Linked DNA regions of Rhinolophus ferrumequinum. The protein of the gene in region 1 interacts with the protein of each later gene in a biochemical or structural test. Links are inferred from orthologs where the notes say so. Each region holds a gene or a part of one and is shown in the gene's direction. Other genes may lie near its edges. The genes, in order: SETD1A and WDR82.

Region 1 (15,693 bases):
TAATCCCTCCCCAGATTTCAGTCCCTTCCCCCACCCTGACTCCTTGAACGTCACTGACAATGGCAGCTATTGGTAGGAGTGGGGGCCCGCTGGCCCACCCGCTGGTTCAGCGTGCCCCAGGGGAGCGGTGAGGGGTACCCCAGCCCCCTACCTGCCTCCCCGCTCAATACTTGAACATTCATCTGTACTGAAGTGTTACTTGAACCTGGGGAACCTCGGACCTGGGGGAGCCGGAGTGTGCGGGGCCAGGACCAGTTTGGACGGAGACGGGCCGGTGCGCGCCCCGCCCCGTTTGGACTGCGCCCCACTCGCAGGCTCTCTTGCTTTACTGTATTGAGCAGCTCCACCCCTCCGGACCTGAGATGGGGTGGGGTGGGTGGGGAGGGGTGGGATGCCGGCCCAACGATGAGAATGGGGGACTCCTCCAGCTTGGCTCTTCCCACTCATCGTCGTGGAAATTTGTATCCCATTTTCCCAGGGAACTGCCACTCCTGGTTGCCATGGAAATAGCAGCCAATGGACACGTCCCAAAGCCAGTACTAAGGCTGGAAATGGCCCCTCTTGGTTGCCATGGGAACTTAGTAACTCTCCTGGCCCGTCCCTGCCCCTGCCTCCGGGGCGGGGCGGGGTTTGGGAAGCCAGGGCCCGCCCCTCAGCCCCGGCCAGGGTGGGAGCTGGGTTGTACCATGTAGGGGAGGGGGGAATCCACATACCTCAGGTAACAGGGAGGTGCGCGGGTGGGGGGAGGGACTGGGCGGACCAAAGGCCGAGGGGAGGGGGTCCTGGGGATCGCGTAAGGCTTGAGGATGAGGCCGCTTGGGGGAGGGAGAGGAGGCAGCCCGGCGGGGGACGAATGGGGGACCCAGCCGGGCTGGGCCCCGGATCTGTACAATACGGTTTGCTATAAAACTCAAAATCTTCCAGCTGGGGCTGCCGAGTTTGTGTGTCTGTTTACGGCGTCGGGGGCGTTGGGGTAGGGAGGGGATGACCGCAGTGGTCACCCTTTGGGGCTCTCGGAGGAGGGGCTGTTTGGATGGATCTGGGAGTCTGGGCCTGACGGCTTCCTGGAGCCGAGCATGCAGGGTCCCCCGGGATCCCCACAGTCGAACAGGCTCGCCTTCCCCGAGTTCACAACTTAGGTAGGGGTTAGGTGGCCAAGTGTGCTGGAAAGGTGCGGGGCCCGGGAACTCCGGGTCACGGGCTGGGGCCGGCCGTTCACGGCAGCGGGGCTCTGGCGTCTGGATGACATGCTAAGTCTAGGGTCGCGGGGTCCCTCGGGAGCTCTGCGGACAGACCCCCCGGCTCCACCCCATCATGTGGCCACCGGCTCCGCCTCCGCCCCAGTTCCTGTTTCGGCCTGTGCTGTCCTGTTGCGGTCCCTCGGGCTCCCAGTAGACGCCAGCCGCTCCTCCGCCCCGGGCCTCCTTTCTCTGGGAGCCCGCCTGCGCATCTCTGCTCGCCCCACCGGGGGATGGGGCCGCCCCCCGGCCCGGGCCGGCCCTCCTGCAGACTCCGAGGCGACCTGGCCCCGCCGTGACCGCTCTGCAGTCTGGCGCCGCGGCCCCCAGCATGAAGGGCGGCGAGGGGGACACGGGCGAACAGGCCCCGCTGAACCCGGAGGCCGAGAGCCCCGCGGGCTCGGCCACGTACGGAGAGTTCGTGCACCGCGGCTACTTGGACCTCATGGGGGCCAGTCAGCACTCCCTGCGGGCGCTCAGCTGGCGCCGCCTTTACCTCAGCCGGGCCAAGCTCAAAGCCTCCAGCCGCACGTCTGCCCTGCTCTCGGGCTTCGCCATGGTGAGGGGAGGGAAGGCACGCACAGCGCGGGGGTCGTGGGCACAGTGAACGGGTACCCACTGGAGGAGGGCGACGGGGAAAGAGGAGAGCAAACGGGGTCCCAATGGGCGGCACAAGTCCCTTTCTAATGGGTGGGGGTGTGTGTGAACACCCGTGGCATGAGCTGGGCCACAGGGACGATAAACAAGTACCAAAGGTAGCACTGAGGCGTATACATGCGCAAGGATGGGTCACAGAGTCCGAAAGCGTAGTCCAGGCAGGAGTGATGACCGGATCCCCAAGAGAGTTCAGAGGCAAATCAGAGCTGGGTGGAGGCTGTAGAAACCGGGCAGGAAGGGGGTGGAGTCAAAGAATAAACTTGGAGTGGCCACCCAACAAGGTGGGCGCATCCCGAGGAGGGCTGGCCCCAGCAGGTGCAAAGGGTGCTCAGTGTAGCCTAGGGAAGCTTTGCGAAGAGAGAATGGCTGTGAGGGAGCCTCTGGGTAAAGAAGCTGATGAGGAAGCTGATAACACTGGGGGTGTGGGACGATGCTATCAGCTAACGGTCCCAGTGGAGGCCTCCTAGAAGGTGGTACTGAGGTTGGCCTCCGGGTGAGGAGTCAACAGACGCAAGTCCTGGCTCTTTCCTGCTTGTGGCCAGCGGTGTCACCCTGGACAGGCCAGCACTCCGCAGGTCAGTGGGAAAAGGTGAGATGCTGGAGGGTGTGCCCTCTGTAGCCTGCCAAGTACCTGCCACAGGATGAGCCGATTGTTGTCATCAAATCCTACATCCCAGCATGTTAGAGCAAGACACACATCAAAGATGGCGCCAACTACCTGTTAATTGGACAGGCATGGAGGCCAAGGCCCAGGACGGGACAGTGGGTCTGCCAAGAGCACTCAGTAGGTGAAGGATATAGAATAAACTAGGACCCAGGGTCACTGGACTGTTCGTCCAGGGTTTCCCCACCACCATGACAGGACAGAGGCAGCGGCTGGTGGGGTGGGGGGAGGTCCTCATAGGACTAGGCTGCTGGGATCAATTGGAGATGAGAATAGAAGGGTCATAGCACTAGGTGGTTTGGTTCGTCCCTGCCCCTCTCTGGGTCCCGGCCTCTGTACCTGAAATGATGAAAAGGAAAGTCTCTACCTCTCACGGTTATCCTAGGTCCATGGTTTTCTGTGTGGGGGCCCGGGGTCCACAGGCCAGTCCACGCTTCCTGATGTGGTCATCTAGGGACAGGGAGTACAGACCGCAGAGGGAGGGAAGCAGTCCCGTGGACCTTCACCTCCAAAACCTTGTGGTCCATCTGTTCCCGTGGTGACAGCCTGGCCTGCTGCTGGACTTGGGTGTTGCTGGGGTCACAGCTTAAGGGTCAGGATCTTCTCTGCAGGATCGAGAGGCCAGATGGGAACGTTCTGGGGGCAGGATCGGCTCCAGTCCTGCCAGGGGAGAGTGTGGCTGGGTCAGGCTATAGGAGACACCAGGACGGCCTGGCCCAGATCCGTTTGTGGAAGACACCTGCTAACACCCGTCATGGCCCAATTTCCCAAAATACTCAGACTTGTCTTCCTACTACCACTCTCCAGACTCTGCACCTTCCTCCTTCCCTCAGCCCGGAGCAATCTAATGGATCCCACAAGAACGAGGCTGGGGTAATATCCAGATTCTGGAATCCCGGTGGCCTGGGTTAGAATAACATACAAAAATAGTACTAAACTGTCACTAAGTATCAGGCTGGTAGTGCTTCTGTGTTTATCATCTTTCTATTATCGAATGAAGTAGGTACCGTTACTATGGCCATTTTACAGGTGAGAAAGCAGGATCAGAGATGTTAAGACACCTGCCCAGGGTCCCACAGCAAGTAAGTGGCAGTATTGGAACTTAAGCAGTCTGGTTCTAGAGTCCAAATTTATACAAGTTTAGAACAGGATCATCAAATGTTTGCAAGGGCCAGGCCTGTAATATGGATACCAAGTTGGCTGTGTGGGGCCTGAGGATATATGTGACCTGTCCCAAGGCAGCAGCTGTGACTCAACTCTAGCTGCTAGTGTCCACGCCGGAATATGGGCCTGGTGTAACCAGGTCTGTCAGATTTTCTGGAGGATCTGGAAATAGGAATATTTATATGAAATCTCTTGAGTTTTAAAAGTTGGCAACTTAATTCTTTAAGAAACACACTGGATGAGCCAAGAAAAACATGTCTGCAAGCTGGCTTGAATTCATAGCGTGCCAGTTTGCAAACTCTGGCCTTGCACTTCGGCACTGGCTCCAATAATCACCGAAACACCTAGTGCTGACTCGTGCCTTGCACTATTCTGATAACTTGATGTATATACCATCAGTCAGTTTTCACAACGACCCTGTAAGGCAGGTAGGTACTGGTATTAATCCCCATTTTCCAGAGGAGGAAACTGATGCACAGAGAGAGAACTAAGTCACTTGCTCAACACAACACCGCTTGTGGACCTGAGAAGGGACCCAGGCAGCCTAGCTCCAGAACCTGTGCTTTTTAACCCGTGTGTGGTAACGAGGTAAGATCGTCAGAAACATGTCACCCAGCCCTCTTGATAGCTCGGTGGGAGAACCCAGACCCAGAACAGGCCAGAGCCTTGCCAAGGCTGCCCCTTCAGGCACTCAACAAAGGCTGGGAGCCTTGTTTCCTCCCGCCAGCCACCATTCTAGGGCCTAAGGCCACGTAAGGGATATGCGCCAGCAGGCAGATCCCACTATGTGGAGAAGGTTACGAGCGCTGAGTCCGTGGTCTCTTGTCCCCACAGGTGGCCATGGTGGAGGTACAGCTGGAGAACAACTACCAATACCCGCCAGGCCTGCTGGTGGCCTTCAGTGCCTGCACCACTGTGCTGGTGGCGGTTCACCTCTTTGCCCTCATGGTCTCCACGTGTCTGCTGCCCCACATTGAAGCTGTCAGCAACATCCACAACCTCAACTCTGTCCACCAGTCTCCACACCAGCGACTCCACCGCTATGTGGAGCTGGCCTGGGGCTTCTCCACTGCCCTGGGCACCTTCCTCTTCCTTGCTGAAGTTGTCCTGGTGGGCTGGGTCAAGTTCGTGCCCATTGGGGCCCCCGTGGGCACGCCTGCCCCCGTGGTACCACCCTCCCACGTGCCTGGGACTCTGCCACCCGTGGCCACCTCCCTTAGTCCCGCTTCCAAGCCATCCTCTGCTCCTGTGACCCCGCCACAGGCTGAGACGTCTGAGGCCTGCCCACCCCGGCAGGTCTGTGGCGGCGGGGCCCATGGACCAGGCTGGCAAGCAGCCATGGCCTCCACAGCAATCATGGTACCCGTAGGGCTTGTGTTTGTGGCTTTTGCTCTGCATTTCTACCGCTCCCTGGTGGCACACAAGACAGACCGCCACATGCAGGAGCTAGAGGAGCTGAGTCGCCTGCAGGGGGAGCTGCAGGCTGTGTGAGGCTGGTATGGCCACCTCTACAAACACTGCCTCCCTCCGGGTTCAACCACAGATCCCAGGTCTGCCGACCGCTGCCCTGACTCTGCCTGGAGCCACTTCCTGAGGCCACTCTCAGGTAGAGACCAGATTCCTGCCAGCAGGGTCCTGTGGGCGGGGCCTTGGAGCAGCTCCCACATTCCAAGGGATTCTCCCTGTCAGCTTGCTCCATGGGCTTTGTAAGTTCTGCTCTATACTGGCTTGGAGGAGCGAGTGAAAAGTGCTCAGTCCAGGCTCCTGGGATAGGTGGAGGGGAGGCAGGGAGACCCTGGTCAGACCTTTGGTGCTGACCCTTAGCTACTTCTTGCCCCTATACAAGACGTAGCAGTCCGGTATAGGACACACCCTCCCAGCTGCCCAGAAGGCAGCAAACCCTGGCTTTTATTATTTTTGTAGAATCTATTTTGTGGTTACCATTTATTGGGAAGCTTTTTCCCATCCCCAGATTTTGATGGGTTCCACACTCTTGCTGTAGCTGCTGTAGAGAGGGGTTTGGGCGTTTCTGCCCTGGCATAGGTCCAGCCTCTCCTAGAAGGAGCCTCCCTGTTTTTGGAGGTTCAAGCGCCTGTCCAACTTCCCTAGACCCACACTGGATGCTTCTATAACTGGTTCTCACTCTTCTGTGCCAGGATTGGGGGTGGAGGGCACGGGGGTCTTTGGAGACCGAGGGCCTGTGAGCCCCAGACTGACTGCCTTATCAAGGGTTGGGGTGAGGTTTTAAAGGAGAAGGTCCAGCCCCTCCCGAGCCTTTGGTATCCTGACACTGAATTTTTGATGCACCTTGTTTTGTATAATAAATTGTATTTCACAGATGTCCCTGTGGCTCTGAGTGGGGTGAAGGGGAGGTCTCTTGGGATCGGGCGACTTGTTCCCAAAAGCCCAGCAGAGGCCAGTGTACCTGGGGGCGGGGCACGGCTGGGGGAGAGTGGGTTCCAGGTGTGAACCCTTCCTGGTGCTGACGGGCCGGTAGCTTCTGCAGGTGGAGACTGAGTTATTCCAAGGCAAAGGGCTTTGGCACGCTGGTTCCCGAGCCCAGGTGCTCTCTCTTCCACTGAGGATTTAGTATAAGTTTCTTTCTTGAGTGACTGCTACCTATGAGGAGCTTTTAGGTTATCTCCTTGAGACCTCACCTCCATCGCGAGACGTCTTTCTTGTTTCCATTTCCAAGGTAAGGACGCTGAGGCCCGAGACTCAGGCTTGTGCCCAGAGCCACACAGCCAGTCAGTGAAAACTAGGACTACTTTGACCCTCACATGGGGAATCTCTGATTTGAGAAAAGGAGCCCCTACCTTTCCACTGGGACAAGAAAAAGGGATATGATCTCATCACACGTGCTTCCACGTAAATGAATTGTTTCCAGCTTCGTTTCCCTCAAATATTTAAAGCGTCCCAATCCTCTCTCTTCCATTCTTAGGGTGTGAGGTCTTGAGAACAAGTCTCCTTTGCTCTTTTCCTGTTACTTAAAATGGTGAATTTGCATGCACCAGGCTTCTGGGGCTTTTCCTGTGCTGTTCTGATACCTGCGGTAGTCCTGCGTGACGGGGATTAATGTCCATTTCAGAGGAAGACTCTGAAGCTTTGAGAAGTCATACAGCAAGAGCTGTATATAGAGATGTCTGGGTCTTAGGGCAGAGGTGCCTCCTGGGAATGCCATTATCTGGAGACGGGACACCCTGCATCCAAGAGAGGGTGACCAGCGTCAGGGCGGGCTTAGCCCCGGATCCCCGGTGTAAGCTTGTGCTGGTGCTGCCCTCCAGCGGCGGGACCGCGTAAGCATAGGCACCCCCCCCACCACCACCACCGGCTGAAAACGGCGGGCACTGGGACCGTGATGCCTGGAGAGTCGACAAGCCCACCCTAGTTCCCGTAAAACCTAGTTTAATTCTTACAGGACCCACTTAAGGGCCTTTAGGTCGCACCAAGTTTACCACAGAACTTTAAGACAGCCTCGGATTTAAGCACCAACGGTGAGCCGAGCAGGGGAAAATGTGGCACCTTCTGCAGGCCTCAGTCTCCCCATCTGTCAAGTGGGCACGTTAAACTGCGAGAGGCCCAAGAGGGATAACGGGAGGAAACCGCTCCCTGCATTACGCGAGGCGCCAGGGAAACGGCCTGAGTCACCGCCGTTCGTTGTATTTTTTCACCTCCCGGGAGCCCCTCCCACCCCGCCCCGTTTCGGTGGGTCCTACAGGAAGCGCCCCCGCGACGCCGGCCTCGGTACGCTCTGACCACGCCCTCTGCGCACGACGCCTTGGCTCCGCCCACAGGAGAATTCGCAGATTCGCTAGGCCGGTTCCTCAGAATTACTCAGGCCTCTGGGCTCGACCGAAAATTCTCATGGGACTCGGAGAGGAGCTTTGGGCCGTATTTATCTCCCCCGGGTCGGAACTGGGCAGTTCCCCGAGCTGTGCTAGTGAGAAAGATCCATAAAAAGTGGCCGACTCTTGCCAACAGGGCTTGGCTAACCAGGCATTCTTTTCTTGACTCCACCAAGGCGGGGAAAGGGAGGAAACAGCTGGGGCCGGGACCTGTGGCGAATCTGCAGCCTCTTAGACTTTTGGCCGCGCAAGGAAGGGGCAGGCAAGAGGAGCGAAAGAGCGCGCGTCCCGTCCACCCATTCGCCCCGCCCGCCTGACGAATCTGCGCCCGTTCAACGCACCACTCCTCTCCCCGACTCGGGCTGGCCTCCTCCCCTCCGCCCCGCCCCCTTTTCCTCAGGGATTAGTCGCTGCTTTCGTCGCCGCCGATTCGTCAACGACCCCAGGCCCGAGCAGCTGGATAGCCGTGGAGAAACCCACTCTCCGGGGGATGCGGCCCGTCTCCAGGCTCCCTGGGCCGCAATTCTCGACCCTTACAGGGCGCCGGCCGAGGCGAAACCGCTATCCTCGGCACCGTGGGTCTCCCGGTGGCGCCCGTGGCGAAAGTGCGAATGTGGACACTGTGCCCGCTGGGCCTCGCGCAGGTGGCGGTGGTGTTTGGTGCGCGCGCCGGGGAGGTGGTGGTGGGGGGGCGCCGCCGCCGCCGCCACCGCTGCGGGGCCGGGTCTCGCGCTGCCGCCGCAGCCGCCGCCTCGCGCCACTAAGGTGCTGCGCGGGGTGGGGGGAGGGGGAGCCGCTCGACACGAGCGGGTGAGTGGGGCCGCGCCGCGCGTGCGCGGAGATGGGGGGGGCAGAAAGCGCCGGGGCGGGAGGAGAGGGCAGCGGCGCGCGTTCCTGCCACCTCCCTGCTCCGATTCGGGGCCGAAGCCGGGGCTCGGGCTCGGTCTCGCGGTGTTTCCAACGCCCCGAATAGGTGCCACCTCTTGGCTGGAGGATCGGGGCGCGGGGACGCGAGCGGGTGTGTGGGAGCGGGAGCCGGGCTTGGCCCGGGCCGCTGGCCGGTGAGGAGGCGGGAGGGGGCGGGGCCTGCCAGGGGGCGGGGGAGGGGTCTTGCGCCGAGGCCAAGTGGGGCGCGCGCTGGGGAGAGCCGGGGCGCGAGATGGGCCTGGGGTCCGCGAAGAGAGTTGGGAGGTGGAGAGAGAATGGGGTGTCGTGGCGAAAGTGTGCTTGGGGGGACATCGGGGGCCGCCACGGGTCATGGGGAGGTGGGGAAACTGGGGTGATGCGAGGACCCCGAGTCTGGGCTGGTCGGTGAGGGGCAGCAAGGGAGGCAAGCCTGAGACCTGACCCCGCGCCCCCCTCTTTGCGTGTCCCTCTGTCCTCACAGTGTAAATGAGCAAAGATGGATCAGGAAGGTGGGGGAGATGGGCAGAAGGCCCCGAGCTTCCAGTGGAGGAACTACAAGCTCATCGTGGATCCTGCCTTGGACCCTGCCCTGCGCAGGCCCTCGCAAAAGGTGTACCGCTACGATGGAGTCCACTTCAGTGTCAACGTGAGTGCCCCGGGCCGCTCCTTGCCAGCCGGGGAACTCGGCCCCACTCTCCGGTTAGCTCTGTGCAGCCCCCAGAACGTCTGTGCCCATAACCTGCTGGCTTAAAAAGTGGGTACCCAGCAGCCAGCTCTTGCAGAGGGGTCTCCGGAGGGGCTTCTTCGCGCTCCATAATGTGGTTTCACATCGTGTGCTTTCTATCCCTGCTTTCCTTTCTAGGACTCAAAGTATATACCGGTCGAAGACCTCCAAGACCCCCGTTGCCACGTCAGGTCCAAAAACAGAGACTTTTCCCTCCCAGTCCCTAAATTTAAGGTATGTGTCTGCTGGTGTCCTGGTGTGGTGGCCTTTGGAGGGGGTGGGGGTCCGTCCTCGCTGTCTGGCCGTACTGTAGCCAATAAAAGGGAGTTTTCCGATGAAAGGGTCTCAGCCAGGTCTAGCAGTGTCTGAAGCTGTGAGGGGATTGTTCTAGACAGGAGGTGTGGTTCACATTCTAGAAAGGTATAGGTGAGGGGTCCCAAGCAGGAGTGTCGACTTCTTGAAGGATATTATAAAGACAGGCTCAGTTGCTCTCCCTGTCACTCTGTATTCTAGACAGTGCACAGCTTGACAGTGCCCTGGTGTGATACCCCAGGTTCTCAACGGTTAAGGGGACTGTCAAGGCCAGGAACCCCATCCCTGGAGTCCTCTGTGCCTCACCCTTCATTTGGCCATTGGATCCTCCATCACGTTTCCTCAAAGATTCCCATTTTCCTGACCAGGCAGGATACTCCACAGGCTGGGCTTAGAAAACTGGTGGTTCTTAGTTTCCTTCACTAACTCTTTCTTCTTCTTCGTTTGTAAGTAAATCGTGTGTTGGGTTCTCTCACCCCTCTTTTTTTAAGTTCGTACACTTTGCCTGGACAATCTCTTTCACACCCATGAGTTTGACTATTGCTGAAATGTCCATGACTTCCAAATCTCGGTTTCCAGATGAGATCAGTCTCTAGAATTCCAGACATAGGTGCCTGGGAGTGGGACAGCTCCACCTGGAGGCCCCACGGCCGTCTCAGACTCGAAAGCAAATTCCCTTTCCCCCTTTAATCCTGCTCTCCCTTCCATCTACTCAGCTGCACAAGTTAGACACCCGGGAACCATTCTGTGATTCTCCTTTCATTTATCACATCATCTGTAACAAAGTTCTGCTGACTCTTTTTCCTAAACGTATATTTTTACCTTAATAATTCCACTTCATTGCTATTTCTGTAATGTAGACTCGTGTTCATTTCATTTCACCTGGTTTCCTTGCCTCCTTTCTCCATTTTATGCTCCGCTGTGCTGTCATTTTGTCTTTTTTATTTCACTATTCTCTGAGTTTACTCCGGTTGCCAAGTCTGTGTTCTTGCGTATTGATACATATGACTGACACACCTCCGCCTTTGCCACTGCGTACCTGTGTTCCATACACTTTGCAATTTCCAGGAAATGCTAAGTTATTTTCTACCCAGTGCCTTCTGAGTGCTTGTCCTGGTGGTGAACTCCTGCTTGTCCAAAACGCCCAGGATGAGTGACACCATCTCCATGCAATCTTCCCTGCCTCCCACTCTGAACAGAGGTCTCCTCCTGTGGGCTCCTGTACGCTCTGTCTGCATCTCTGCCAGCGCGTCCTGTGTCCTGTTAGCATTGTGTGTGTCTTTCTGTCTTGCCGACGTTCCCAGACGGTGGGCCAGCAGTCCATCTGTGGATTCCTAGTGCCCCGTCCATGGTGATCACTTCGTAAAAGCTGTTAGTGAATTATTTCTCTACAAATAGTTCCTTCCGTGTGTGTTTGTTCCTCAGTTTGTACATTACTTTTCCTGGTTCTTGCCATTGTGCTGTGGTGAGAAGAGGTCAGGGAAGAGAGGGGTCAAAAGTGATGTATCCCTTGATGGAGTCCCTTCCTATTCCCTTGTCTCTCAGTTTCCCAGTTCTGTTTCTCTTGACTCTTGCTCTAAGTTTCTCTTGCTCTAAGTTTCCCAGTGGACAAAGAAACAGAGGTCAGCTCTGAGACCCCACACTGAGCTCTCGTCCTCTCCGCAGCTGGATGAGTTCTACATCGGGCAGATCCCGCTGAAGGAAGTGACTTTTGCAAGGCTCAACGACAACGTGCGGGAGACTTTCCTGAAGGATATGTGCCGGAAGTATGGCGAGGTGGAGGAGGTAGAGATCCTTCTTCACCCCCGTACTCGCAAGCACCTGGGCCTGGCCCGCGTGCTCTTCACCAGCACGCGGGGAGCCAAGGAGACGGTCAAGAACCTCCACCTCACCTCGGTCATGGGCAATATCATCCATGCGCAGCTCGACATCAAAGGTGAGGCTCCCCTGCCCGCCGCCGCGGTAGGGCCCCAGCGGAGACCGTGCCCCCGATGGCTGCTGCGGCCAGGCAGGCGATCAGATTCGCGATGAGCCTTACCTGAGCCTCTTGGAGCCAGGTGGCTTTCTGGAATCAGGATCTTACAGAGGTGTTGTGGTACATAATGTTTTGTGTCATCTCCAGCAGGCTTGGGGAGCACGTGACTATACTTGTAAGAAAATGGATGAAGGGTCACACTAGGTAGGATGAATGAAAACTAGTAAGTAGCCTCAGCTCAGCTCAGCTTGTGACACTGAATTCCCCAAAATAGTGGGTGTTGAGGTTTTGGGGTTTTGAAATTTTGGATTGAGAATTAGGGACCTGTTGTATAGGCGAGTGAGGGAAGAACTCTAGGCTTCGGTGTCAGGGTAACAGGGAGGGTGGGGCTCATGGCGAGCTGTAATGCAGTGCCAGCTACAGGGGGGCAGTCCTTAGTTGGTATCAGCCAATTTGCAAGTGGGAATGAGGACTAATATTGCCAAATATTCCGGTTTTTTAAAGCCAGAAGTCTAGATTTTTATGTGAAATCTCATGGTTTTAAAATGTTGGGTCCCCACCCCCACCAAAAAAAAAAAAATTTTTTTTTTAAGTGACTGTGTAAGGCAAACAAAACAGCTGTGGGCTGGATTTAGCCCTGAGGCTGCCGTTAGGTTGTTTGTAGGATGAAGAGTATGACAGGACCTCATACCAGACGACCTGGGCTTGAATTCCAGTTCTGCCACTGACCAACTTTGTGACTTTGTGCAGGTCCATTTTCTTTTAAGTCTCTAACGAAGGGGCACCAACACTTTTCCCTCCCCGTGGTCATCCAGTATATTAACCCCTTTTGAGAAAGCGGAAGTGTCATAATCCATGTCGTTTGTAGTAGTTGTCAGGTGGAGGTGAGGTAGAAGGTCCCGGAGGTAGAGACAGAAGGTAGAAGAATTGAAATCCCCAAACCTGATACTTACCTTGACATCTGAGGACGACGTGAGAATACCAAGTCCGGAAGGAGTTGTCTTCCCCCATCTGACCCTGTGGGTTCCCGTTTTTCTTGCTCCAGGACAACAACGCATGAAGTACTATGAGCTGATAGTCAATGGCTCCTACACCCCTCAGACGGTGCCCACAGGGGGCAAGGCCCTGAGTGAGAAGTTCCAGGGCTCCAGTGCAGCCGCCGAGACGGTGAGAAGCCTGTGGGGCCATAGCTCTCGCCATGTGAGCGGCGGCTTGAGTGCGACGCCCGGTCTTCGGGAGGTTCTGCAAGTATTAGAAGAGCCAAGAAAAGATGTCTCGATACTTTCGAAAGACAGGGAACTGGGGTTCTTGGTTTGGAGAAAGGTAAGGTGTTAAATGGCACTCACTGTTCGTTTCTGCGTGCTCCATTCTCCCCTGCAGACCGAATCCCGCCGCCGGTCCTCCTCCGACACGGCTGCCTACCCGGCAGGCACCGCTGGGGTGGGCACGCCTGGCAACGGCACCCCTTGCTCCCAGGACACAAGCTTCTCCAGCAGCCGGCAAGACACCCCATCTTCCTTTGGCCAGTTTACCCCTCAGTCCTCCCAAGGAACCCCGTACACGTCTCGGGGCAGTACCCCCTACTCTCAGGACTCTGCCTACTCCAGCAGGTACAGACTGCCTGCCCTCTGGGACCCCCAGGTTCTGGGAGCGGCCGCTGCGAAAAAGAAACCCAGAGTCCCGAAGAAGGAGTTGGGAATAAGTTGTCCTAGTTTTTCTTAGATTCAGCCGACAAATCCCTGTTCTCAGGGCTCGCACTGGCTGGGTGTCAGCAGCGAGTGGGTCTCCTCTGGGGGCTGCGGAGGGGCGCTGGGTGCTGAGGCCTGAACCTGGGCTTCGCCACAGCTCCGCCAGCCCCACTGACTCACCCTGCGCTTTCCCTCCAGCACCACGTCGGCCTCCTTCAAGCCCCGGCGGTCAGAGAACAGCTACCAGGACTCCTTTTCCCGCCGCCACTTCTCTGCGTCTTCGGCCCCCACGACCACCTCTGCCGCCGTCTCTGTCACCACTGCAGCCACCGCCACCTCCTCCACCGCCTCCTCCTCCCTGTCCTCGTCCTCCTCCTCGTCCTCCTCTTCCTCGTCCTCTCATTTTCGTGGTTCAGACTCAAACTACCCAGCATATTACGAAAGCTGGAATCGCTACCAACGCCATCCTTCTTTCCCACCCCGCCGGGCAACTCGGGAGGAGGCCCCTGGGGCACCTTTTGCTGAAAATACCGCCGAACGCTTTCCACCCGCCTACACCTCCTACCTGCCCCCGGAGCCCAGCCGGCCCGCCGACCAGGACTACCGGCCTCCGGCCTCAGAGGCTCCGCCCCCGGAGCCTCCCGAACCTGGTGGAGGCAGCGGCGCTGGGGGGCTCAGCCCTGAGAGAGAAGAAGCCCGGACCTCCCCCCGCCCAGCCTCACCTGCCCGTTCCGGCTCCCCAGCCCCAGAGACCACCAATGAGAGTGTGCCCTTCGCTCAGCACAGCAGCCTGGATTCCCGCATTGAGATGTTGCTGAAGGAGCAGCGCTCCAAGTTTTCTTTCCTGGCCTCTGACACAGAGGAAGAGGAAGAAAACAGCACCACGGGCCCTGGGGCCAGAGACACGGGGATGGAGGTGCCGGCGGGGCCAAGTCACGGGCCCTGCACCCCCCCTCCAGCTCCAGCCAGCTTTGAGGACGTGGCCCCTGCAGGGAGTGGGGAACCAGTGGCTGCCCGGGAGTCCCCCAAGGCCAATGGGCAGAGCCAGGTGAGGTGGGGTCAGCCAGCAGAGGTGCCCGGGGTCAGGGAGGTGAGGTCAGGCCCAGGGGAGCGGGGAGGGCACTGGCAAGAAAGCAGGGGTTTGCGGGAAAGTCCAGGGTACGGGCAGAAGCTTCCTGTGACCCTCCTCTGCATCCCCAGGCTTCTCCATGCTCTTCCGGAGAGGACATGGAGATCTCCGATGACGACAGGGGCGGCTCGCCCCCTCCGGCCCCCACCCCCCCCCAGCAGCCTCCGCCCCCGCCCCCTCCGCCCCCTCCCCCGCCCCCCTACCTGGCTTCCCTTCCCCTTGGTTACCCCCCCCACCAGCCTGCCTACCTCCTCCCACCCCGACCTGAGGGGCCGCCGCCCCCTGAGTACCCGCCGCCTCCACCGCCACCCCCCCACATCTATGACTTTGTGAACTCCCTGGAGCTCATGGACCGACTTGGGGCGCAGTGGGGAGGGATGCCCATGTCCTTCCAGATGCAGACCCAGATGCTGACTCGGCTCCACCAGCTGCGGCAGGGCAAGGGGCTGGCTGCAGCCTCGACGGGCCCCCCTGGCGGGGCCTTCGGGGAAGCCTTCCTCCCGTTCCCGCCACCCCAAGAGGCGGCCTATGGCTTACCCTACGCCCTGTACACACAAGGGCAAGAAGGCCGCGGGGCCTACTCCCGGGAGGCGTACCACCTGCCTTTGCCCATGGCCACCGAGCCCCTGCCCTCGTCCTCAGTCTCAGGAGAGGAGGCCCGGCTGCCCCCCAGGGAGGAAGCCGAGCTGGCAGAGGGCAAGGCCCTGCCGTCGGCCGGCACCGTGGGCCGCGTGCTGGCCACCCTGGTCCAGGAGATGAAGAGCATCATGCAGCGAGACCTCAACCGCAAGATGGTGGAGAACGTGGCCTTCGGCGCGTTCGACCAGTGGTGGGAGAGCAAGGAGGAAAAGGCCAAGGTGAGGGCCAGGGCCAGGGCCTGCCCCGGGCAAGCTGGGGCTCCGCTGGAGGAAACAGCCCTCGGGCTTCTCTCGGAGACGCCGCTCAGAATAGAGAAAGGGATGGACGGTGAGGGCACGTGGACAGACACGGGGCACCTGGGGGACACCAGGTGGGCAGCGTCGCGGGGGGCGCATAGCACCGCAGAAGAGCATGAGCCCGAGAGCCCGAAGAGCCTTGTGCCGGCTCCGATGCCTGCTTGCGGTGGACGAGGCTCTTCAGTGTCTGTCTCTGGGCTTTAATCTGCAGCGTCTCCGTTTGTAGGGTGGGGAGGATAGGAACTATTTCCTCAGGGTCCTGGACTGTAAGCTCGCAGACCTGTGAGGAAATGCCTATCTGGGGGCTGGTGCAGCAGAGGTACGGCAGGGGTGGGCGCCAGGCGGATGAGCCAGGAGGCGTGTTCTGTGCACCGGGAGCCTGGCTGTAGTTCTGGCAGGAGGCAGGAGGGAGCGCCGGGGATCTGGGCTCAGTCCCCTCGTGCCCACAGCCGTTCC
Region 2 (15,476 bases), on another chromosome or scaffold:
ATTTCTTTCAAATTCAAAATAAAGGGCTTTCGTTATAAACTGAAAAAAAAAAAAAAAAAAAAAAAAAGAGTGAACCCTAATGCAAACTATGGACTTAGGGTAATTATGATGTGTCAATGTAGATTCATCTATTGTAACAAATGTACCCCTCCAGTGTTAGATGTTGATATTGGGGGAGGCTGTGCATGTGTGGGGGCAGGGGGTGTATGGGAAAGCTCTGTACTTTCCTCTTAATTTTGCTGCGAACCTACAACTGCTCTAAAACAAAAGTCTTTTCTGTAAAAAGGAGAAAAAATGGGGGGAAAAAAGGGCCAATCAACTATCTGGCTAAATTCATTTCTCCAATTAACAACATATGTTGAGCCAGACTCTGGCTTGACTTTGGATAAAATGTGAAAAAAATTACTTTACAAACACATGGTGGAGTAGTGTGTAGCCATTCAAAACGATTGTGTAGTTCTGTGTTTATTGACTTGGATGATGTTCACAGTATTATATGAAAAGGGTAGCTTATAAATAATATTATATTATGAACCCATTAAAATAGATCTCAGGGGAAAAATCTGAAAAGTTCTACATCAAAATGGCAAAATTTATGTTATATATATTTTACCATAATAAAAACAAATGTAATAGTAGCTATTTCGGGATACTGCTTTTTTTCATTATTATTATTACTTATGATGTAGGTGATGTTGGATCCGCTGGCAGTTTCTGGATCGTGTCTCATGAGACTGAAGAATGGACACACAGACCAGGGAGAGGCAAAAACTTTTAAAAAGAGGATAGTTTATTAGAGGCAGGAGAAGAGGTTGCAACTCCCGAGTGGGAGGGGGGTCCCGAATGGGGGTGTCCCGTGACTGAGACAAAAGGCTTTTACTTTTATACCTTCCCTTGCCAGTTTGGGGAAATGTTGCTGATTGAAGAAGAGAACTGGCGCCTTCTAATGAAATTCGTCTACCAGGTTTGTTCTGCTGGCCCATCCTGAAGGAATTAGCAAAGTAACCCACTCTTATCTATCAGCTCTGCTCTGTTTGTCAGGCCAAAAGGAATTTTATGATTAACCTCAAGGCCTTGTTACATTATGTCCTGGAGCGAAGGAGTGATTTCAAAACCTGGAGTTTTAGGATATGGCTGTTTTTTGTTTATCCCACCAGGGACCCCCCCTATCTACCTAGCAATCATACTAACTAAACTGTCTTACTTGTTTGTACTTTAGTTTTTCTGCAATGGACATGTATTTACTTGTGTGAAAAACTAAGTGAATATGTGAAATGATGATTTAAGAGTTTAGTAACATGGGGTAGCTGGATGGCTCAGTTGATTAGAGCGCCAACTCTGAGCTCTTAACAACAAGGTTGCAGTTTCTGAGGTTTGATTCCCACCATGGGATGGTGGGCTGCACCCCCTGCAACTAAGATTGAAAACGGCGACTACACTTGGAATTGAGCTGCGTCCTCTACAACTAGATTGAAGGACAATGACTTGACTTGGAGCTGATGGGTCCTAGAAAAAACAGACTCTTCCACAATATTCTGCCCCCCCCCAAAAAAAAAGTTTAGTAACATGGACAAATAAAAAATTAAGTCTGATGCTCTTTAAGGCAACCTGATTCACTTCTGACTGCAATCTTTCCCTTCCATCCACTCCCTCCACTGGAGCCAGCCTTTCTGGGTTACTTTTTAAAGTCCAGCCTTTAAGGCACTGTTGGACTGGAAGCTAGGAGTCTCACTATAACAGGGCAGGGAGCCAGGTTAGGAATGTGAAACAGAGAGAATGTGAAACAGGCTGAATCATTTCAGGACACTCTTAAAATATGAAAAAATGACTTTTTCCATTCCAAAAATAATTCAGGAAGTCAAGTCTTGGAAGAGAGCTTTGGTCTTACTAGTAAAATCTGGGAAAGTTACAGGAAGTACAAAACATGAAAGATACCCTGCAAAGATTTCTTTTGGCTGAAAACATTCAGTAGGTTATGGCTGTTTCTGTGGTTATTTTTTAGGTTAAAAGGGTCCAAAATACGGTATCTCACTGGGTGTTTCACTTTCCAACATTTCCAGGACACGGTACCCTCTGTCCTTGTTGCCGTCTAACTATTCAAAGCAGCCTTTCTAGCTTGTAAATTAAAAAAGCAGGAATTGCAGGGAAGTGAGTGTTCTGGAAAGTTGCCATCCACTTGGGTTTCACTCAGGCTTTTTCCAAACCCCAGAACAAATTGTAGCCAGAAGCTCTGCTCTTTGTCAGCAGGCAAATTGCAACCCAGACTTAGCCAGGATCTTGCCCTCTCCCCTCAGAGGACAACTTTTCTTTTTAAAAAAAATTTTTATAAGAGCTTATTTGAGTCAAACTGACGACATATGCCAGGGAGTGAGATCTCAAATGCTCCAGAGAATAAGTTTTGCAGCTTTTTTTTATACATTTGAAATTAAGGAGGGAATGCAAGGAAGATTACATGGAGTTGGGGGAAAAAGCAAGGCAGGGATTGGATTACAGGACAGTTAACAAGATTATGTGCTCTCTTGAGGGTGGTTATAGCTTATTTTAAAGATGTGTTAACCTAAATGCACAAAAACAATGGACAGAGCTTGCTTAAGGCAAAGAGAATACTTTAACTAAAAAGTTATATGCCTGGGGCGTGACTACCTCCCACGACCTGACCAGTTAGGAATTTATGATCAGATCACCCTGTGAGGTTACTTTCCATAGAACCCCTTATTTTTCATCCATTTTGATCATAAATCAATCTGAAGGACGCATTGATGACCAACCTTTTGGTCGGATAGTGTGGTCTCACAGTGCTAGGAAGTCTCATTCCTAGGAGTTCTCTGTATTGAGTTTGTCTTGACCACTGGGGATGGGGCAATACTGTAACCATAGGATCTGAGCTGAATTTTCCCCAAACAGGAAGGGCAGGTAAATGGAAGGCAGTCAGGTCTTATGGCCTTTATTATGAAGCACTGTATCATTTCTATCCAGTGAACTATCATGATCTGAGGTTTGCCTCTGTCTCATTTTTCTGTTTTTGGCATCTACTATAATAACATTTATATAAGCCATAAAAAGAATATTAACAAGTTACCTTATACATGTTTAGTAATCATAAACATTGTACTATATAGAAAAACCCAAAGAATAAGTCTAACTATTATTATGACTAATATCATTAGCAGACAAGTAAAGACAATCAAACAAAATGGATTCTGAGTTTAGGATCAATCCATAGGTATAAGCTATCCCATGTCTTCTGGATAGCTTTCTATCTCTGATGTCATCAACTTCTCACCCTAGAGGAAGGAGTTTTTGATGTTTGTAGACAGGGGTAGATGTCCATTCATAGTTATAGGGTCTCCAGTGAGGTTGGAAAGTGTCTTTTATTTGGTGTCCTTTCCAATAAACAATATCTAAAGACATGTCTCCTGTGAGTTCGCTGTGAAGGAAGTGGTTACCAACTTGACATTTTCTTGAGTGACTCTGTCAGACCTTGGTAATAGTGTAAGATGTCTCCTTTCAATTATGTCAGCTCATAATTCCTTCATCTAAATCCAGCTTCAGTCCACTGTGATGCATGAAGAAATGTAAAAACTGAAAAATGTAGAGCCAAGGTACAGGGAAGAACCAAGTGGCCATCTCAGGTTTCCCAAAGCCCTGATTAATCATTTAATTTACAGGCTTTGTTTACCCATACACTATACTCTAGAAGTTTACCTACATATATTGAGATTTTTAACCCTTAAAAACTTAATGTCTAATAAAAACTAAGAAGTAATCAATTAGCATTCTTTAGCTTGGACATTTTATAATCTCTAGAAATATTTTTCACAGACATAAAGGTCAATTATTAACATGGACATGTTTTTGTAAAACCCAGGCAAAATAGAGACATGTCTGTTTTTCTTAAACCAATAAACTTAAGCTAGCTTTTATTCACTAATAATTAATGTTAGATCATGTGAACTTGAAAATCATATGAGTTAGTTTCTATATTTCTGAGAATTTTAGATACCCAATTCTTATAAGTGCTTGCCTTTAAATTAATTTAAACAATACCATCTGGAGGTAGAAAATTATCTCTCATTTATAACATACATATATAGACATATACAAACAGACACAAACAGAGACTAGTTGGATACAATTTTTGTTTTGGAGGTATTTACAATTTACAATTTACAATGACCTTCCCCCTTTTAAAAGACAGCCATTTTGAATACTTCAAAGAATTGGGTTGACACCAAAACGACATCATGGGTTAACCCATTTTTCTAAATTCTCTTTTTGAAGCTTTGAGAGACCAATTAAATTCTGCTTAATTTTGTAGCTGGCTTTTTCTAATTGTGTTCACAAAAGATTAATTTAGAAGTATCAAAAGATCCTCATCTTGGCCATCTTAGTTATAAATAGGAGGCTAACTGTGGTGGGCCGTGTTGGCCTGGGAGGCATGATTTTGCATATTAATGTTGAGATCTGTAGAATCTGAACAAACTTCTAGGGAAAACCAGCCCTTCCATGCACATCTGCAGATAAGCCACATGCCATAGATATCCCTATAGGACTGCTTCACGCCCTAGAGGAAAATTTTCCTTAGACAACCCCATGGAGATTCTTAGTCACCTAAGAATACCTGTGCAAGGGCCAGTGAGAGCTTAGCAGATGCCACCAGAACCCTGATGCTTTCCTAGGCATGAACCCCTCTCCTGGGCCTCTCTCTTGGGATGCACTTGTTCCAGGGTGCCCTTTTCTTCTCCCTGGGGCTCCTCCCAGCTTCTCTGCGATTATCTATAGTACCGTACCGCACTGGATGACTCAGGAACCCCTCTCTACCACTCCAGATTTGGGGATCTGAACAACTATCATCATCCCATTGGCTATTCCGGTTGGGGAAGCAAGTGTCCTTTCTCTCGGAGCTAGACAGTTCAGTCTCTCATTTACCCAGCAAGATTTTGTCACAGACTCTCAGTAAGCAATCTAATTAAAAAGTCGAGATTAAAAGCAGCAACTCACTTTTCTCCTTTCCCTGGGTTATCTCAACCCTTATCCACCTCTAAGAATTTCTAAGAACAGCTCAAATAAAGTAGTGGCCTGCTCCTTAAAGCAAGGAAGCCCACAATTCTGAGAGAAACTCACCCAAGTTCACCAGAAGTGAAGCAGGGAACTGGTGGGCACAATGGGCCCTAGCTAGGGTCCACAGAGTGATTCTGGGTGGGCTTCTTTGGAATCCTGCCATACTGTGCCAAGTAAGTGTTGATGTAAAGAAATGTCCAAATCTGTAGAGAATTTTTATAAGAAAGAGTTTATTTGAGCCAAATTGACAACATATGCCAGGGAGCAAGATCTCAAATGCTTCCAATAACTTGTTTTTATGTGTAGGGATCTTTACCTTTTCTTTACCCAGAGGATGGGACACAGCCTTAGTTCTTTCTGGAGGGACCCCACCTGTCCCAGGGTTTTTGTTTTGTTTTTAGCATTGTCCAGATTATATCTGGATCTCTGGATAGCACATCTTCATAATATCAGTGATTAAAATGTTTCACAGTCTTTCCTCTTTATTTTTCTTCCTCTTTAGCCACTGCAATTTAGTGAAACAAAGTAAATAGGCTCCATCTCCATTGTTGGAGGTCCCAGGCCATTAAACTTTTGAGAAGCTGCAGCACAAGTTAGAGATCTATGAACTCTCATGGGTTGCACCGAGTTTAACTCCTTGCACAGAAGGTTAAAGCCAGGGTTCGTGGTACCTATTTTGTGATTAGATATCGCTTTCTTTTGTTAGGGATCAACTTTCCTTCCTTTAAGGCAAATAAATCCCTTCTTAGGAACCATTGAAACAATTTCGTTGACTACAAAGAGGGTAATGAAACTGTTCTATACCTTGAATGTGGTAGTGATTGCACAACTGTATATGACTGTTAGAACTATTGATTAAAAAGGCCAATTTTTACTCTACATAAATTATACCTCGAACATGGAAAAATGTGGTCTATACAATACTAAAAAAGGGGAAAGTGGTTTATGTAGATATATAAATAAGGAGGGAGAACTCAGGAGAATTTAAAACTGTATTTTGTTGAATGAGGAGACAATTCTCCCTCTTAAAAATTTCTTTGTAATTGATGCTGAATTTTGGAGCTGTAAATACATTTGAAAACTTAGATGAGTGTTTATAAAAATGTGTGGAACACTTAAAATTTGTTCACTGTATGCACTTTATGTTATGTATCAATTAAAATTTTAAAAGAAGGCTTGAAGTTCTGCCTGGTGGTCACATCGGTGTACAAGGTGTGATTAAAAAATACAGTGAAGGTTTATTTTTTAAAATATTTTTAAAAGTTCTTTTTCTTTTTATTTATTTTTTGAATGTTTAAATTTAAAAAATTTATTATGGTAAAAGACATTGCCATTACTCCTCCTCAAAATACTCTCCCTTACTTCGAACACACTTATCCCATCATTCTTGCATTTTCTGAAGCAGTTCTGGAAGTCCTCTTTCGTGACTGTCTTTAGTTGCGCTGTCGTGGCTGCCTCGATGGACTGAATTGATTAAAAAATGTTTTCCTTTCATGGTCATCTTGACTTTGGGGAAGAGCCAGAAGTTGTACAGTGCCAGATCCGGTGAATAAGGTGGATGAGGACACACTGCAATGTTTTTGACAGAAATTGCCGTATACCAGAAGCGATGTGTGACATGGAGTGTTGTCATGATGGACAATGAAGTAAAGACACTCAGGAATAAGGACTTCCAGAACTGTTTCAGAAAGTGGCAAGAACGATGGGATCAGTGTATTCGAAGTGAGGGTGGTTATTTTGAGGGGGACTAATGGCAATGTGTCTTTTACTGTAATACATTTTTTTATTTAAATATTCACCATATCTTTTAATTACACCACATATATCCAAATGAAAAAAATTCATCCACTAAAAATTTTTGCTGTCTACTGTATATTATATACCAATAAAAAATACAGAAATTGAAAGTATGTTGACTCTGTCATGATGTGTAGAGCATTATGACTCTGATAGTTGTCAGTCACAAAGTGACAGTCATGCCAGAGCGTCACATGAAAGGTGTACCCAGTGAAGGCCCTAACCAGATAACTCCAGATGCAGGATGGAGTGTGACCACCTGGACCATTTTATCTGACTGCAGATAGCTTTATTGGACTGCAGATGGGTGCACTGCACCCAGTCTTGAGCATAAAAACAGAGGCTCTCTGACAGCTCATCGCTCAGGCCTTAACAGCTGACAGCTTCATCTGCACTCCTCCCAGATAGACCGTTTGAAGTCTTCGCTCCTGACCATCTCACAAGCCCGGCCTGACGCGGAGGCTCTGCACTTCAGCACCGCAGGGACTCTCACTGAGCAGGACTCTTCCTCATCCTTCTTTTGTAAGACTCTGTTCACCTCGCCTAACCTTATTGTTTGCAAACCAGTGTGACCCTCTTTTGTGAAATCACCCTACCTTTACTATTGGAGGCTATCCTTTGGCTAGAGCCTTGGTTAATGCCCGTGGTAAACCGACTAGGTAGGATTAGATCCATGACTAGATCCATTCTAATAAAGCCTGACATTGTGGGGAGACACAAACTGATATGAGACTGCTACTTTGATAGTCACCTCCCGCTCAGGACATGTGGATTTGCGGCGAAAGCCTGCCTGCTTGCCAGCTGATGGGTTCACTGACTGACCCCTGGAGGGGCTTGGCGGATCCCCGCAGGACCTGCTTCCTGGTAAAATGCGGATGGGGCCTCTGCAGAGGACGCGCCCGAGTCTCCAGTGGGGCTGCTAACCGCACAAAGGCCCACGGCTCCCAGGCACCAGCGGTCTTCCCGCCCACGGAGGAGGTCGTGGACATCCCCACCCCCCTCCTCCCCACAGCCAGCGGCCATCCCGCCACTGCACTCCACGCCGCCGTGCTGACGTCATCGCCCCGCCTCCCCGCCTCGCGCCGCCGTTCCCGCTCCGCCCTCTTTCCCGGCTTGCGCCGCGATGCGGCTCCTCGCCCTAGGCTCCTGCTTGTCGCCCCAAGATGGCGGACACAATGAGCGGGCGTCGCTTGGGTTGTCCCTGAGGCGACTGTGAGGAGGATCGGTAGGCAAGGCCTCGCAGTCAGGCAGAAGAACATTGCACGAGCCGTAGGAGGGAGAGGAGGAGGCGGCCTGATTGTCGGCCGCCTTCCAGCTCGTCGCCGGCGCGGCGCCCGCCCCGCCCGGGTGGGCCCTTCGGCAGCCCGCCCGTTCGTTCGCCCGCCCGTTCGCCGCGGGGCCCCGCCCCAGCCCTGCTCCGCCGCTGCTGCTGCCAGCAGCTGCCGCCATGAAGCTGACCGACAGCGTGCTGCGGAGCTTCCGCGTCGCCAAGGTGTTCCGCGAGAACTCGGACAAGATTAACTGCTTCGACTTCAGCCCGAACGGCGAGACGGTCATCTCGAGCAGCGACGACGACTCCATCGTGCTCTATGACTGCCAGGAGGGCAAGTGAGTGCGGCGGTGGCCCAGGGCCCGGGTCTGAGTCCCTCCCTCCCTCTCGTGGTTCGCCCCGCGGCCAGCTCCCCTCCCCGACTCCGGCCCCCCGCCGATTTTGTGCTCGCTCCTGCCAAGGCCGCTTCCACTCTTCCACTCCAGAGATGTCCAGGAGACCTTTTTTTTTTAAAAAAAAAAAAAACAAACAACTAATGATAGCATTAATATTTTGTGTGTCTTTGGTCTCTGAGAGCACTTCTGCATCTTTTGCCCAACTCCACCTTGACCTTGACCTTTAAGCGCCCGACCCGCCCACCCTGGCCCCAGCTGGTAGCTTTTCCACCGCTCGGACTCCAAAAGGTGCGGATCGGCTTTGCCCTCCGCGGAGAACCTCAGAGGCTGCTCTCCTGCTTCATCAAACGGCGTCAGCTTGCTCTCTGTGCCTTCTCCTCGGTGACCTCGATTCAGCCCTGGCACTCCGCCCAACCCCTGCCCCTTTGCTTCCCGCGGTCTTTCTGCCGGAAGGCCGCGTGGGTTGCAGTTCTTAGCTGTCAGGATTTATTTGTTGTGCCTCTTTGGGTCCCGTGTCCTTTCCTTTCTGTTTCAAATCATGCTCTTCCTCCCTCAGACCCATTGCCCACGCTTATTGTGAACTTTGTAGCAACATCTGAAACTTTTCCTTTTTGCCAGACACGACCGAACTTGGCTCGACCTGAATGTGAACCTCCCATTAGAACAAAGAAAGCATCGTATAACAATTTCATGTTTCCTCTTATGTTTAAAGAAAAAAAAACACTTTAATTCCAAGTCTAGTCTGACCGTGAAATTTCTGCGTTGCCCCAAGTGCTGGATACCCACCACACCTGCATCTCTGCAAAATCTTACAAGCACAGTATTTTCCCTTTTCCCCTGGGGACCATGTCAGCTTCACCTCACACTTACTGCCTCCACGTCCTTGCTAAATTGTGAGCTCCTTCGGAGCAGAAGCTGGATTAAGCTAAATTTTATTTCCTCTCAGTCACCTTCCCCGAACAGGTTTGCAGATGTTTGATGTAACTCGGTGGCTACTGGTTTTGTCAGATTTCATTTTGTTGCCTTGATCCACATCTTATTTTTGGAATCTGGGTTTTTCTCTACTTTCTCCAGTTCTTTTGCCTGAAAAACAAAAAACAAAACTGGTGTCTTCTGTAAACTTCTTTTGGGACTTGTCTCTTCGTTTGTAAGTTTGGTTATCCAAAGTAATGCTGTTTTGGTCTGAGCTATAGTGTTCTCCCCAGTTTTTCCCCCACTGGGGCTATGAAAGAGTATTACGTAACTGGCTCTGCATCTGCCTGCAGTATGTGGAAGAATGGCCCATAGTGGTGGTCCTGGGGGGAGAGAGGGTTGTCAGCTGGACCTATGCTGAGTTATTTGAGTTAGTGTTACTCATTTAGTATTTGGATTTCCTTGTCTGGCCACTTGAATCAGCTTGGAAGAGAGAATAAGGTACAAAGCTGGGGGTGCGGGGTCGTTGTGGGGTCCTGGAGCTAGAAGTAACTTGAAGCTGGCTTACTTGAAATGTTTAGTGCTTGTGCACAGATTGGAACCTTTCCCTGAAATCTGAGGATGGAGGTGTATATCCTCATTCAAAGGAAATAAAGGTGGTGATAGCATTTCTTCATAGTTTGTCTCCTAATTTCAACTTGTTGCAAGGGATGACAGTGACTTGAAGTCCTGTCTTGTTAAAAGTAAAATGTTAATTTTATGATATAATGCAGTTTATTCACTTACATAGCATTTTTACATAATTACAAACTTAAGAGTTACAGCAGTGTTTCAAAGAACTCCCATATGATCCAGTAATTGGCTACATTGCCCCCTTTGACTTTTTCTCTATATATGTATTTATATGTATGCATTTTTTTTCTGAACCATTAGAGAGTAGATTGGATGTATCAAGCCCCTTTATCCCTAAACACAGATTCCGGTGACATGGTTTTCCTAAACACATAAGGACATTCTCTTATATAACCAGAGCACAGTTATGCAAATTAGGAAATTTAATATTGATAAAATAGTATAGGGCATGCTTTTAAAATTTTTTTCTTATCAATTGTGGACTTGTTTCATTGTGATCTGTGATGGGAGAGTGGTTTGGTAGGAGACCTGAGTTCTAGTTTGTCCTTGTGACCAGGTACCGTGTTTCCCTGAAAATAAGACCTACCCAGACAATCAGCTCTAATGCGACTTTTGGAGCAAAAATTAATATAAGGCCTGGTATTGTATTATATTAAATTATATTATACCCGGTGTGTTATAGTAAAATAAGACCAGGTCTTATATTAATTTTTGCTCCAAAAGTCGCATTAGAGCTGATTGTCTGGCTAGGTCTTATTTTCCGGGAAACACGGTATGTCACTGGTCAGATCACTTCTCTGGATATTAGATGACCTCTTTTAGCCTTTAGGAGTCCATGATCCTAAATGGTAATAAGAAAACATTTGCCACTAGTGTAGGTCAAACTAACATTGGAAGAAAAGTAATGTTGCCTTGTAAGGCATAATACCTTTATTAGATGGTACTAATGTTAACATTATATTATAGCTAAAACAATGTTCTTTATGCTTGATATTTTCTAATTTACTGTTCATTTAAACTTATAATGGAGTTTATCCATTGAGTGATTTTTTTTCAACTTGAAAGAATATGAATCTGTGGTAGGTGATGTGAATTATTCAAAGGAAGGCTTTAATATTATTTATTTATTCATAATTGATCACCAGAATCATAATAAGTGGAGAGAAGCTTACCAAAATATTTGTGAAAAAATGTTCCTGGGCTTTGTAAAGATCACCTGAAATGGACGTAATACATTAGGATATTGCTTTCAAAGTAGGAAATGATAAGAGGTAAAATATTTCTGTTAAGAACAAATCTCAGGTTAGTGTTATTGATAAATTCGAGACAAATAGGCCACAGAAAAATTTTCCCTTACTCCACACGCTTTAACGTTGGCTCTTTAGGCTCTGTTTTCATAGTTGTAGATAGACTGAAATACTGGGATAAGTAAGCTTTTCTTTCCACCGGTAGAGGCAAAGTCAGCTTATCTTTTGAGAGCAAGAACATGTGCACATGCTCATACTCACTCCCTCCTTCCCTCCCTCACTCACTGGTTAGTTTTACTACACAGTAACCCCAATGCGGAACCTGGGACAGTGGACTAAACAAGGTAGCCTTTGAGCTGATCTTTCTAGCTGATTTTTCAGTATGGTAAGGATGTGGAACATTCAGTGCATTTGGAAGGAGAAGTCTTGTTTGGAAATAAGTTTTATGTAGGGAAACCCTTAGCCTCACTGACATTAACAAAAATTGAAACTGCAAACGATTGACTTCATAAAGCTGCCTGAGGCATCTATCTCATTGTTTAGCATCTAGGTTCCAAGAGGATTTTGCATTGACAGGGTGAACGTCTTTTTCATAAATTGGAATTCTTGGTAAACATTGGTACAGGATTTATGAAATCCTCCTACGCTGAAATGTAGAACATTGTAAGTTTTTGAGTATGGTTTCAGCTTCATCTTCAAGCTTCTATAGAAGAAGACATTTAAGGAGCTTCAATGAATGGATTGACATTCTCTAGATGGGAAATGTGTAATTTTACATTAAAATAAAAAGAAAACTGATGACTATTTTGCTAGGGATAGTTAAGCTTGCCTTTCCAAAGGCTCGGTAAGTGCTTTGGACCTTTAGGACAGGGAGGATGGATAGCTTCTGCAACAGGTTATATATATTAGGAAGTTTTGCATCAGGTTTCAGTTTTGATGAATTATTTCTTCTTGAACAAAGAACCTAATAATTGAGTGGCTTAAGAAAAAGTTCCGGCCTTATTGGTTTGACGTTTTTCCATATCCCCCTTTGTTATGTTATGACTTAATGTTGTTTTCTGTGCCTTTCTTACCAATAGATGTACCTTTTTGCAAAGCTTACTTTTGAACATTGGAATAAAAAGACTGAACAGAGTCCTCAGATTTACTTCCACTTCCTAACCTTGGCATTTGGCATTCAGAGCTGAAAGTTGTTGCACTTGATTGATTCTGTTTGTTCCCTTTTGGAAGAAATTTTGTTTCTTTCCAGTTTTATAGCTTACCAGGAGTCCTCACCCTTACCACATCATTCAAGGGCTTCTCTCTTTATTAAGATCCCAGATTTTGGTGATGGAGGATTTTAATGGTTTTCTTTCTCTATCCATTTCCTCACCAGACCAAAGAGAACCCTGTACAGTAAGAAATATGGCGTGGACCTCATCAGATACACTCATGCAGCAAACACAGTCGTTTACAGCTCTAACAAAATAGACGGTAAGCGAGCCTTCTTTTTAGGAAGTTATGGCTATGGTTTCCTTTGTTAAATAGTTCGCGGATTGTTTGTGACTACATCTATTTTGTTTATACTGTGTTTCCCCAAAAATAAGACCGGGTCTTATATTAATTTTTGCTCCATTAGGGCTTATTTTCAGGGGCTGTCTTATGTTTCCATGTATAGCAACCTACATTTATTCAAATACAGTCATATCATCTTCTAGAACATCGTCATAACGTATTAAATGCATCCATCTAGCTGAGATCTTAACTGAGTCTTATTTTTGGGTAGGTCTTATTTTTGGGGTAGATCTTATTTTTGGGGGAAACACGGTAGTTTAAGTATTTTCCTCTGATGTTAGCAACGCTAATAACATTGTTATGACGAAGAGATGCTGGAAACAAGCCACTAGTGTTTTGAAGGGCTTGAAACAGTATGAAAGAGTAGAAAGTGGGAATAGGAAGTAACAAATTGTATTTATGGTTTGTACTTCTTGAAACTTGAAAGAATTCTTTTAGAACAAAAGGAAAGAATAGTTGACACACAGCAAGGGTAAACAACAGTACTTCCTGTTCAAAATATAGAGATCTCAGAAAAGTTTTCACAAATGTGAGCTATGATAATTTAGGGCATCTTAGAAGAGTTTTTGGTGTATGCCCAACCTTGTACGGTCTGAGTCATAAAGGATAGTGTACTGACTTTGGTTATCTTTGATTCTGGGCATATTTTTTGATCTGAATTTTATCCTTTTCCCCTTTACTTTTAAATAAAGCTAACGTCTTTGAAGGTTAAAGAATTATTTGTAGAAATTAAACTTGTGAGTTTCTTTCTCTAATAAATGGCCTCTGTTTTTACTTGCATTTCGCCTGGGAGAAATCATTTTCACTTGACAGATCATCTTGGTAATTGAGCAGTAACACTCACTTTCATGTTAGGACTTTTTTTTCCATTTAACTTACTGATTTATTGACCCCCCCCACCCCCCACACACACTTTTTGTAGTAAGATTTTTCTAATGTCATTCAACAGACTGTTTAGACTGCTATTTTAGCTATGCCTATCTCAGAGCAGGTGGGCAGGTCTTTTTTTTTTTTTTTTTTTTGACTTTTTCTGCCTGTACTTGACTTTTAGTAAGTATATTTCTACTTTCCATGACTTTATTTCAGAAGTGGTGTTCTAAGTAAGCGTGCATTTGATGCTTTTGGATAAGAATATAAAACATTAGAATCCAGAGGAAACATCTCTGACCTCTGCATGACTGGTATATTTCTTCTGTTGGGGTGTTTTTCTGGGTGGTTAAATGAGGATTGTCCAAATGGGGTGCACGATGAGGCAAATGTGTGGCACTTGCAGCTTTGCTGCCAGGCCTCTGCTGTGAGGATGTGGCCCTTCCTGTCTCGAGTGCATCCTGAAGAGTTCTCCAACGCTTCGTTTCCTTTTGCCTGATTCCAGGCTGAGGTAGTAGTTTGTACAGTTTGAGGGTCTATGATACCACCCGGTACAGGAGATAACTGTACAGGCCACTGCCTTGCCAGGAACAGCGCGCCAGCTACCGAGTGGGGCGGAGAGGATGGCGACGCCCTGCTCATCTCTGGGAAACCAGGTAATGGGAGGAAGCCTTTTTCTGCTTAGGGCAGGTGAGTAGTTCCTAGCAGTAGAATAACCAGGAAGACTTTGTAGCTGTCATTCGAGAACTTGGAAGATGTTTCCAAGGAAAACCATGTAGAAGTCAGTTTTGGAACATAGAAAGAGGAGCCTTTTCCCTCTCAGGTTACATGCCCTCTTATTAGAAAGTACCCCTGTGACCCACTGGGATGACTTGGTGCTTTCAGCCTCTTTGTTCCTGTGTCCTGTTTGCCTCCAAGAATGTTCTTTCTGTGCTTTCCTTTCTGCATTTTGGCACCATTTCCTATTAACCTCTTTCTGCACAACTGTTCCTTATTCATAGTCTTTCGGGGCATAGTACTCTCCAGTTCTAGTCTTCATGGTACTTCATTCCCTTCCCATCATCATTTTTTTTTGTTTGTTTACTTTTTCAGATAGAATCATTTGATTTTTAAGAGTGTCTTATTTTACCCAAACACAAATCTCAATGATTATTCCTTTCTTTGATATTGTCAAAAGTCTCACTGCTATGACTTGGTATAGTTCATGAGTTTGGTTTTGAAATGTCTTGAGATCTTTTAATCTCAATTTTCTCACTTCTTTTGACTACATTATTATTATTATTCTTTTTAACTCACTTCTCTGGTACAAGGGACAAGTGGATAGTTGGCTAATTAGAAAAGAAGCAGTAGGACATTACTTCTCTCCATTTTGTTTAGTTTTAATGTAAATTGTATATCCAGTTAACATTCAGGTGAGGTTAGGGGTGCATCCACACAGTGTTAGAGAACTCTAGACAGAAATATTATGCCCGAGTCCAGCCTGATCCTCAGCTTGGCACGGCTGCTTAATTCTTTGAGTCTGTATCCTCAGCAGCCAGATGTTTTTCTTTAAGGCTTGCCATTCTGTGGGCACTGAAACTATTGTGGTTTTAGGGGGGGGGTGTGAGGTAGGGAGTGACAGGGTATATTTACAGAACAAGTTGCATTGTAACTACTTGTATGCAGAAGCCAAAGATTGGTAGTAACAATGATTTTAAACATTGCTCTATATGCTGTCAACTTAAGAACTGTGCTTTTGAA

What was found.
Region 2: the proteins of SETD1A (region 1) and WDR82 form a complex in vitro, tested with the Homo sapiens proteins (2 studies listed by BioGRID). The link is inferred for Rhinolophus ferrumequinum from reciprocal best matches to the Homo sapiens genes SETD1A and WDR82.

The regions. Positions count from the first base shown.
Region 1 is NW_022680357.1:375,783-391,475, reverse strand, and holds the start of SETD1A (histone-lysine N-methyltransferase SETD1A), read left to right. Parts: upstream 1-7,544; 5' UTR 7,545-8,212; intron 8,213-8,257; exon of another isoform or gene 8,258-8,378; intron 8,379-8,472; exon of another isoform or gene 8,473-8,629; intron 8,630-8,955; 5' UTR 8,956-8,970; coding exon 8,971-9,120; intron 9,121-9,336; coding exon 9,337-9,432; intron 9,433-11,175; coding exon 11,176-11,446; intron 11,447-12,530; coding exon 12,531-12,652; intron 12,653-12,865; coding exon 12,866-13,095; intron 13,096-13,371; coding exon 13,372-14,221; intron 14,222-14,373; coding exon 14,374-15,159; intron 15,160-15,686; coding exon 15,687-15,693. Other genes in the region: ORAI3 (protein orai-3), read left to right, coding at 1,570-1,797, 4,558-5,214. UniProt on the Homo sapiens protein: Histone methyltransferase that catalyzes methyl group transfer from S-adenosyl-L-methionine to the epsilon-amino group of 'Lys-4' of histone H3 (H3K4) via a non-processive mechanism.
Region 2 is NC_046300.1:47,895,680-47,911,155, reverse strand, and holds the start of WDR82 (WD repeat-containing protein 82), read left to right. Parts: upstream 1-7,978; 5' UTR 7,979-8,305; coding exon 8,306-8,466; intron 8,467-12,690; coding exon 12,691-12,788; intron 12,789-15,476. UniProt on the Homo sapiens protein: Regulatory component of the SET1/COMPASS complex implicated in the tethering of this complex to transcriptional start sites of active genes.